Linked DNA regions of Ovis aries. The main gene of each other region encodes a partner of the protein of the gene in region 2 in a complex. Links are inferred from orthologs where the notes say so. Each region holds a gene or a part of one and is shown on either strand. Other genes may lie near its edges.

Evidence for each region.
Region 1: IK (region 2) and MFAP1 share a complex: the UniProt entries of both Homo sapiens proteins name them as parts of the spliceosome B complex. The link is inferred for Ovis aries from reciprocal best matches to the Homo sapiens genes IK and MFAP1.

What each region holds. Positions count from the first base shown.
Region 1 is NC_056071.1:53,265,322-53,269,499, forward strand, and holds the start of MFAP1 (microfibrillar-associated protein 1), read right to left. Parts: upstream 2,801-4,178; 5' UTR 2,662-2,800; coding exon 2,583-2,661; intron 1-2,582. UniProt on the Homo sapiens protein: Involved in pre-mRNA splicing as a component of the spliceosome.
Region 2 is NC_056058.1:49,440,960-49,446,773, reverse strand, and holds the start of IK (protein Red), read right to left. Parts: upstream 3,694-5,814; 5' UTR 3,598-3,693; coding exon 3,582-3,597; intron 3,014-3,581; coding exon 2,947-3,013; intron 879-2,946; coding exon 786-878; intron 267-785; coding exon 207-266; intron 1-206. Other genes in the region: NDUFA2 (NADH dehydrogenase [ubiquinone] 1 alpha subcomplex subunit 2), read left to right, coding at 3,903-4,003, 4,126-4,360. UniProt on the Homo sapiens protein: Involved in pre-mRNA splicing as a component of the spliceosome. Auxiliary spliceosomal protein that regulates selection of alternative splice sites in a small set of target pre-mRNA species. Required for normal mitotic cell cycle progression.

The sequences.
Region 1 (4,178 bases), on a different chromosome or scaffold from region 2:
TTGGACTGCAAGGAGATCCAACCAGTCCATTCTGAAGGAGATCAGCCCTGGGATTTCTTTTGGAAGGAATGATGCTAAAGCTGAAGCTCCAGTACTTTGGCCACCTCATGTGAAGAGCTGACTCATTGGAAAAGACTCTGATGCTGGGAGGGATTGGGGGCAGGAGGAGAAGGGGACGACAGAGGATGAGATGGCTGGATGGCATCACGGACTTGATGGACATGAGTCTGAGTGAACGCCAGGAGATGGTGATGGACAGGGAAGCCTGGCGTGCTGTGATTCATGGGGTTGCAAAGAGTCGGACACGACTGAGCGACTGAACTGACCTGTGCTCTATAATTTTAATGTAATTTCATTAAAAGCTGTTCTCAGGCTGATTCTAAAATCATATGGAAGAACAGGAGGTCAAAAAGAGCCAAGACAATTCTGAAGAACAAGGTGAGGTAAAAGACCTTAACAGACACCTTGCCAAAGAAGATATACAGATGGCAAATAAGTATGTGAAAAGATGGTCCACATTTTGTGTCTTCGTGCATGCTCTGTGGCTTAGTCGTGTCCGACTCTGCGACCCCATGGACTGTAGCCCGCCAGGCTCCTCTGTCCATGGGGATTCTCCAGGCAAGAATACTGGAGTGAGCTGCCATTTCCTCCTCCAGGGCCTCTTCCTCACCAAGGGATCAAACCTTTGTTTTCTTCATTGGCAGTAATTTTTTTAAACCACTGAGCCACCTGGGAAGCCCTTATATGTCTTCAGGGAATGCAAATTAAAAAAAAAAAAACAACAATGAGATGTTGCTACACACAGAATGGCCAAAATCTAGAGCTCTGACAATACCAAATGCTGGTAAGAATGTGGAGCAACAGGAACTCTGATTTATTGTGGGTGGGAGTGCAAAATGGCACAACCACTTTGGAAGATGGTTTGGTGGTTTCATACAAAACTAAGCATACTCTTACCATATGATCTCATTTCCGCTCTTTGGTATTTATACAAAGGAGCAAAACACAAAAACCCGCACATGGATATCGATTGTAGCTTTGTTCATAATTGCCAAAACTTGTAAGCAACCAAGCTGTCCTTCACAGAGGTGAATGGATAAGTAAACTATGGTACATCCAGATGATGGAATATTACTCAGCAACAACAAAACAAAAAGAGCTATCAAGCCATGAAAATACATGCAGGAAACTTAAAATGCATATTACTAAGTGAAAATACTGTGTGATACCATAATGATGGATATATATCCCGATACATTTGTTCAAATCCATAGAATGTACATCAGAGTGAATCTTAATGCAAACTACGGACTGAATGATAAATGATGTGTCAACGTAGATTCACACTACCCTAGTAGAAATTTTTACACAAGTGCACTAAAGAGACATATTTAAGCACTATTTGTAAAAGGGAAAAAAGTAACAAAATGACAACTAAATGTCCCTCAACAGGGATCAAACTGTGGTTTAATTATACAATGGAACTTATAAGCAGGTAAAGGGGCTTCCCTGGTGGCTCAGAGGTTAAGAATCCACCTGCCAATGAAGGAGACACCAGTTCTATCCCTGGGTAGGGAAGATCCCCTGGAGAAGGAAATGGTAACCCACTCCAGTAATCTTGCCTGGGAAATCCCAAGGACAGAGGAACCTGGTGGGTTACAGTCCCATGGAGTCCCAGAGTCAGACAGGACTTAGCGACGAAACAAGCAGTTAAAGTGAATGAATGAGATCTTCAGGTATCCAAAGGACACTTACCAAAGTCATGCTGACTTAAGGAAAAAACAACAACAAAAGGCAGAATGCACAAAGATAGATACTGTATATTTAAAAGATAAAAAGAACTGACATTATTTTCCAAATACTTTACTGAAAAAACTCAGACTTTCAGTCTGACTCCCCAAACAAGTACAGTTTTCCTTCGTCCATCTGCACTCATTAGAATCCTACCCATCCTTTAAAGATCAAGTTAAATATTCCAATCTGAAGAGATTATTCCTTCTCTGTCCTCCCAAAGCATTTCGTTTATATCACCTATGTGACAGGTTTTATAGGTGGGAAAGACCATAAATTTGTTCAGAATGTGCCTCTTTTTTGCATGTCTCACATCTACAGACTATGAGTTCCTTACACCACTGTTTTACACCATTTTGTATTCAATGTAACAAATACAGTCACTGCGATGGCTGAAAGGGATAAAAAGTTTTAAGATAGAGTTCTTGCCTCAAATAGGTTATTGATTTACGATGTAGTAGACGGAGGTGGACAAGTAATTACAATCATACGAGTTATAAAAGCACCATAAACAGACAATGGACAACAAAATGTATGCTACACAAAGCCATGCAAATAGCAGGCATTCACTATATTAGCTTAACTTATTGGTGGACGAGAGAGCACACAGGTTCTACTAAGGAGATGAGTTCTAAGTAGCAACGCGATCGGATCCGAGTTTGACGGGGAAGTCGAAGAAATAGGGGCAGGGTCTTAAGGATCTCTGGGGATAAGGTGGTGGACCCGGGGTAAGTTTGGAATATCCTGACGAAAGAGATAAGATCCGACTGGAAAACCGCTCAACACAGTACCTTTCTCATTGCGAACCGGGACGGCCCCAGCCGTTGACTGAATGGGCGGTTGTTTCATGAGTGAGCTTGGGACCGACATGTTGACGACAGCGGCGGTGACTCCCGAAACTCGACTGATTTCAAAGTGAACAGCTACAACGTCAACGAACAGATAAAACCCTCTCCTCCTAGGACCACTTGAAACTGCTCCGCGACTGATAGAAACACCACCTTCGACTGAGCTAGAAAAACCGGAAGTATACGACCAGAGGATTGTGGGATTGTGGAGGACTTCTAGACGCCTACGACTAGAAGGTGGAGTCTGTTACTGCGCATGTCCATAGGCTGCCCCGGTGTTCTCAGTCTCGCAGTGCTTGTACGCGTCTTCCCCGCGGGAAGTTGGTTCCACTGGGATTTGCTGTTAAGACCCTGCGACGAGGGAAGTCTCAAGTAAAGGTTTTGTTCGTTAGGTTGGTCTAAACCCGACTATTACAGGGTAGTGATGAATAATGAAACTCAGGAGATAATGAACTGCAGTTTGTAAAGATTGTCAAATTTGAAAGCTCAGAGTTTAATCGGAATAGAAATCCCGTTAACAGCACTTGATTAGCTCAGTTGATGAGGCTGAGCGGATTGTGGTGAGGTATTTTTTGGTCACTTGAGGGCAAGTGGTGGTAATTTAGGCCAGTGGCAAGAAAAAAAAAATCCCCCAAGCAGCTTAGAATAGTGTCTGAGATCCGAACACTATTAAGCGTTCCAGTTCTGTCCGTTTCTGGAGACTGCCTATTATAACATATTCCTGGCTGGAGTGTTTGTATATGAGTCCGTAAGTAATTATTAAGCACTGGTGTTTACATCACTTAGATCTCTCTAAGGAGTATGGAATATTGTTAAAAGGCTCGTGTCCTCCAGGAACTTGAATTTTATTTAGTAAGTCTTAATGGGAGGCCCGGAGAAGGCAATGCCACCCCACTCCAGTACTCTTTGCCTGGAAAATCCCATGGATGGAGAAGCCTGGTAGGCTGCAGTCCATGGGGTCGCACAGAGTCGGACACGACTGAAGTGACTTAGCAACAGCAGCAGCAATGGGAGGCCTGGCGTGCTGCAATTCATGGGGTCGCAAACAGTCGGATACGACTGAGCGACTGAACTGAACCGAAAGGGTTTATAATAGAATAGGAACAAATAGCCCCCATTTTCTAGGTGGATCGTGTTTAAAAACAAAAACAAAAAACAGGCTAGTTGGCAGAACGCTGTAGAAAAGATTTTATAACTGCTGTGTACGGAGAGAAGGGACAATGTGAGCAAAGTCTTGAAGTCCAGAAATATGGCATATATCAGGCGCTGTGAAAAGTGATTTTATCAGTAATTTTTGAGTCCAGGAGTGAAAAATTGCTGAAGGGAACTTTCCTGAAGGTACTGTTAGTAGCATTACTTCTCAAGTGGTTTCACCTGTTCTACAGTTGGGCCTCAGCTGGGAGAAGAAATAAAATTGGGCAAGTCTCAATCAAAGAACAGTGCAGGACACAAGTTTTGAGCTACGAAGGACTGTAAAAATAGAGTTGATAGAAATTTGTATTGTAAATTTATCAGCTCCAAAATTATGCTATCCCGAGG
Region 2 (5,814 bases):
ACGAGATTAAAACACCGCAAGGTGGCTCCAAAGCCCTAAACTGCCAAATAAACTGCCATTCTAAGTATCATTCCTCTCCACTATGAAAGCAGAGAACCTCAAGACAAGAAAGGAAAACCTCAATCTCTTGGCTCCTAACTAGCCCCTATTCCTTACCCCCAAACACCATCCACCACAAAACCCAATACTCCTCCACCTTCCTTTACCTTTTCTTTTTTCTCCTTCGTGCAGCTGGATCTTCATCCTCATTGTACTCTCTTGGCATCCTAGCAAAAAAAGAAATTCATGGATAGCAAAATATTGCCACAGCACCAGAAACCCCAAGAAGTGCCCTTGAGAATTAAAGAAAAGCCTAGAATACAGACCAAAGCAAAAACTGTCAGTTTTAATCAGGCAGAGATCCAGGTCAATATTTGTAGGTGAGTCGTTCTCAAATTTTAGAAAGCATCACAAACATCTGAAGGACTACTAAAATTATATATACCCAAACATCTGCCCTAGAATCTGAGTCTGTGGGGCTGGAATGGATCCAGAAATCTTATTTAAGCACAGGAGCAACTCTAGTTGGTCCAACAAATGGTCCGTGGAACATACTCTGAGAAAAACTGAGATCCCTAGAGCATCCCAGTCTTTCCTGGAGCTTCAATCTCAAGAGGGAGGGAATCAAAACCATGGACTTAAAAAAAAAACGGGGAGGGGGTGCTTTCAAGTTCCTAAGACATCTAGTTCAATAAATTTTCCATAGGAAATAGTCAGAACACAGATTGGATCAACCCAGAACTTACTCATGGTGACGTGACTTAGAGGGTGGTGCAGAGGTAGGTGCAGCCCTTGGGGTCATGAGAAGTTTCCTGAAGTCTTCATTAGTGAGTTTTGATCTAAAGGGCAAAAATTTTTACAAATTAGTACCCGATGAGAATTGGAAAAGGAATATGTAAAAAATATGGTTCACTTTACTAGAAATCAGGCAAATACAAATTAAAACAAAGACATGCCTTTTTTAATGCATCAGTGCTAATGATTAAAAAGTTTGATAAGTCAAGAATGAGTGAGAATATGGGAAGTGGATATTCTCTTATCACCGACACGAATGTAAATCAGCACTGATAACTAGGAGGATGATTTGCCAGTATCTTTCTTAAAATTTAAATGTGTAATATCCTATGATGGAGCAACTCCATTCAACTGTATTTAACCTGGTCAATTACTGGCATTATGTGTATAAGGCCTGTGAAAGAGATCTAATTACAGTTTCGAAAATAATAAAAACTTGGGAAGGACCTAAACTCTCACTGGAGACTATTAACAAATAAACTGTGACAGTATTTCCCAAATGTGGAGAACATAGCACTGATAGTATAAGATGTAATTTTAACTGATACAGTGACCAAACTCAAGTTTCCTTTAAACTCTCTTCAGAGCAGGCCTCTTCCTTGGCCTGCTGAGCCCACTGTAGCGAAGAATCCTGCTAGGTCTCCCCCAAAATGACTCTTCAACACTACCAAAATACAAATTAAGACTATTGCAAAAGGGGATAAGGATCAAAATTCAACTCTGAATACAACAGAGACAATAGGGAATTTATGGAAAATTACTCAGACATCAAAGTGGAAGATGAATTTGATTAGATTAGCAAGAGGAGTGACTGGATCTCATTGACTGATTGATGGATGGATGGTATTCTCCATACCCTAACAGAATTCTTTGCTAAAATTGGGTTCAGGAGACCTGGAAAAAAATATAAGGCCTGCAGAAGCCTGACTAGAGTTTGGTCAAGAAGGGAGTCTTTCAGCAGAGGTGTGCATCCCTACTTCGGGGCTGACTACATTTCCACTTGGGGTCACTAGGACATAGCTATCCCATACTATAGAGTTCTGAGGGTGGGATTTTGGGGTATGAACCCTGGCCCTAATCCACCAGCATTTTAGAAACCTATGTGGGGGATGTATAGCCATCACAGCTGGTGGCACCGGGATGGAATCACTTCTGTGTGTACTGTGTAGCAGTCTAGCTCCAGCCACCTGGACACTTACTACATGAACCTCACACGCCTCTCCCTGCCCCATAGTCTGGGGATCCACGCTCACACCTGGAGGGACATTGATGAGACAAGGCTTGAGCTAAGAGAAAGCCAAAGGACAGGCTGTGAGGGAAGATGAAGGCAGGGTATCTTGCCAGGGAGGAAGATGAAGCTGAGTATCACACTAAGGGTAAGGGTTGGTTTCTGTTGCTGCTGAGCCAGAACAAGAACCAAGTAGGACTGGCTATTAGTATACTTGACGTCAACAAGTATGTAGATAACAAGTAGAACAGGAAAAACTTTCCCTCTACCCTCTTATACTTATATATATATTCTGCACCAGAGATCTGCAAATGAAACTAACAAAAGACAAACTTAAAAAAAAAAAGAAGTCCTTGTCACTGCCATGAAAATAAGGACTAAGATATTGAGAAGGGAAGATCATCAGATGGCAAAATTATATACACACAATGTAACATCACTTAATTTTAATATTTTAACTCACAAGGCAATATTTTACTGAGATATAAATGCATGTGTATAAATGCATTTAAAAAGAGTAGCAAAAAAGATATGTGTAAAACAGGTAAAATGGCTACCTCTAAAAAAGGGAATGAAATTGGGAATGTTATCGAAGACAACATTGACTTCATTCTGATGTTTTAATTTTATACAAAAATTAATTCCTAAATAATGCAAAATTAAACATGAATTTAAAAAAATTAGCACTCACTCTGTCATTATTTCCCCTCTAACACTTTTATGCAGTTGGCCTGACCCAGTTAAAGTTCACAGAGGTAACAGGGCAAGAGGTATGATTCTCTGACCATTCTTAGTGACAAGACATTCAGAATTATTTCACTGTCACCACCACCACTTCGCTCATTCCCCAGCTCATTCCCATGGTTCTACGTCAAAACACTCACTGGTGGAAGGAGTGAGGATCGTCCACATCGTGGCCATCTGGAGCCAAGGGATTGGAGAATGGTTCGCCTAAGAAAAAGAATTGATATTAATTTAATAAATCTCTTTAGAGTCAGGTCCTGTGCAAAAGTTGGGGATTCAGTAGTGAACAATACACAGATGTCTTTTCCTGTCAACTTGCTCACAATCTAGTGGGGAAAAAAGTCAAGAACAGCGACACTGACAATACAATGTAAAAAATGCTAAAGCAAAAAATACAAGGAGCTACGGGAGCGCAGAGGACAGGACCCCTAAAACCAGGCTGGAGGATCAGCCAAGAAATCCCGAACATGACATCTAAGATACTACGCAAAAGATAAACTGACGTAACTGAAAATTAAGTGACAGGGGTTGGGGGAGGCTCACAGATAAATCTTATCTGTCGTGCGCTGGGACAAGAACAAGATTTAGGGACAATCTGGAATTTCCCGGCCTCGTTCAGGGCCCAAGTGCTTCGCCAGGGTCCAAGCGTCACACTCCCGGCCCGCCTCCACTCCGCCCCACCCCCCACATACACGGCTTAAATTCTGAGGCCAAAATAACACGCCACATGTCCCGAGTCCCGCGTGGAAAAAAGGAGAGATGACCCGAGCCTTACTATCTCGCTCCGGCATTTCGTCCGCAGTTTTTCAACCCCAACAACGACCGAGGATCCTGTAACAACACAAAGCTACAGGAACCTCCCCACAATGCACCTCAGGAGACCGCCCACAATTCCTTTCGGGCCCCAGCTTTTCCGTCTCGGCCGCGGGCGGAGAAATCAGAGCAGGCGTTGACTGGCAATGCTTTTATGGCATTGGCTAAGCGTGACCCCGCCCTTTGCGTACACCAACCTATCACGGGGCTGGAGCGTCCAAAGCTGATTTGATAGGATTACTTGGCCGGAAGGTCTAGGGTGGATGATTGAGTACTAGCCGAGATGGCGGCGGCTGCAGCGATTCGCGGAGTCAGAGGCAAACTGGGCCTTCGTGAAATTCGTATCCATTTGTGCCAGCGCTCGCCCGGCAGCCAGGGCGTCAGGTGAGGCGCGGCCCAGTGAGGCGGGTGGGCTTCGGGGCGCCAGGGTCATGACCTCGACCTCCCGGGTGTCTGGAGAGGCCCGTGCCCACACCGCACGCGCGGTGCTCTCTCCTGCCCCGCAGGGACTTCATTGAGAAACGCTATGTGGAGCTGAAGAAAGCGAATCCCGACCTGCCCATCCTAATCCGCGAGTGCTCCGATGTGCAGCCCAAGCTCTGGGCCCGCTACGGTGAGCGCGGGACGCAGGGAACCAGAGACCCCGGAGGGGGAACAAAGGTTCGAAAAGAGAAAGAGCTGCCCAAGGTCACACAGAAACCTACACAGGGACTGGGACTCAGACTTCAGCTTTGCTATTGATCTTGTTGCAAATAAGGAAATATACATTCGCAGAGTTACAGAGTGTTTGTATCCAAGTAACAGGTGGAGACAGGCCCTGCCCTGCATAGGAATCGTTTTTGTAGTTCAGAACAGGCTTCAGGTTGCCTGTGTTGAGTGCTTTCCTTTCCAAATCTCTTGAACCTTAAGTATATAAGGGGTGGATTCCTTTTTCTCATCTTGTAGAGATTAAAACGCTGAATGAACAATTGTATGGAACATACCTAACGTTTTTCAGCTAAGATGCATAACACGGTTGAGCTTTTACATTTGTTCCCCAATCCTAGATTGCACTTCTGCCAGACTTAAGTAGCTGGCTTTTCAGGTTACAATTCAGGTAATCTTGTAGGTCTGAATTTCGATATCACCTCCTCAAAAAGGCATTCCCTGACCAGTTATGTAACATTGCCTCTTTACCCTGTTTCATTTTACCAAGTGTTTATTAACATACTACCTGTGTCATTTTACCACAATTTGAAAACTACTCTGATGTTGCCTGAACATAGAGACACAATAAATATTCATACTTACTGAATAATTGGGCTTCCCTGGTGGCTCAGACGGTAAAGAGTCTGCCTGCAATATGAGACACCAAAGTTCGATCCCTGGGTCCGGCAGACCCCCTGGAGAAGGAAATGGCAACCCACCCCAGTATTCTTGCCTGGAAAATTTCATGGACGGAGGAGCCTGCCAGGCTACAGTCCATGGGGTCGCAGAGTCAGACACGACTAAGCGACTTCACTTTCACTCACTGAATAATGGTATTTTTAATCACAGCTTTTAATTACACTTTGCCCTAGGAATGTCTGGGGGAAGGCAGAGAGTCACACCCAGGGCAGATTGGTTTTAACAGTGCAGCTAACTGCAGTTTGCCATGCACTAAGTTGTTTGCAGGAAAAAAATTTTCCTTCTGAAAGCTAGTAGACTAGAGGAGATGGACACACAAATAACTTTAGTTAATGAACTATAGGAGCCATTAAAAGGGCACAATTAAGAGGCAGGCCCATGTAATACTCTGCTGACAGTGATTAATACTCAGTGCTACCATGCCCCTTAAAACTTCCCTGAAACACTTTCCTTCCCATTATGACCACCCAGAATGAGCCAAAATTCTACTTAGACCTGGGCTTCCGAGATATGTTAGAGACCCACTGGATAAATTCTAGGCATGTCAAATACATTTTGGTCATATCTCTTTACTACCCTTCATATCCTACCAAGAGTGTAAGTGGAAGACTACTTTGGTAGCCTGTACAGTGCAGAATGAATAATTAATAATCTTTCTGTCTCCTCAGCATTTGGCCAAGAGAAGAATGTGTCTCTGAACAACTTCAGTGCTGATCAGGTAACTAGAGCCCTGGAGAATGTGCTAAGTAGCAAAGCCTGAAGTCTCCACTGAGGATTAAAAACAACAGCCCCAGAGTCTGGGCTCTGCT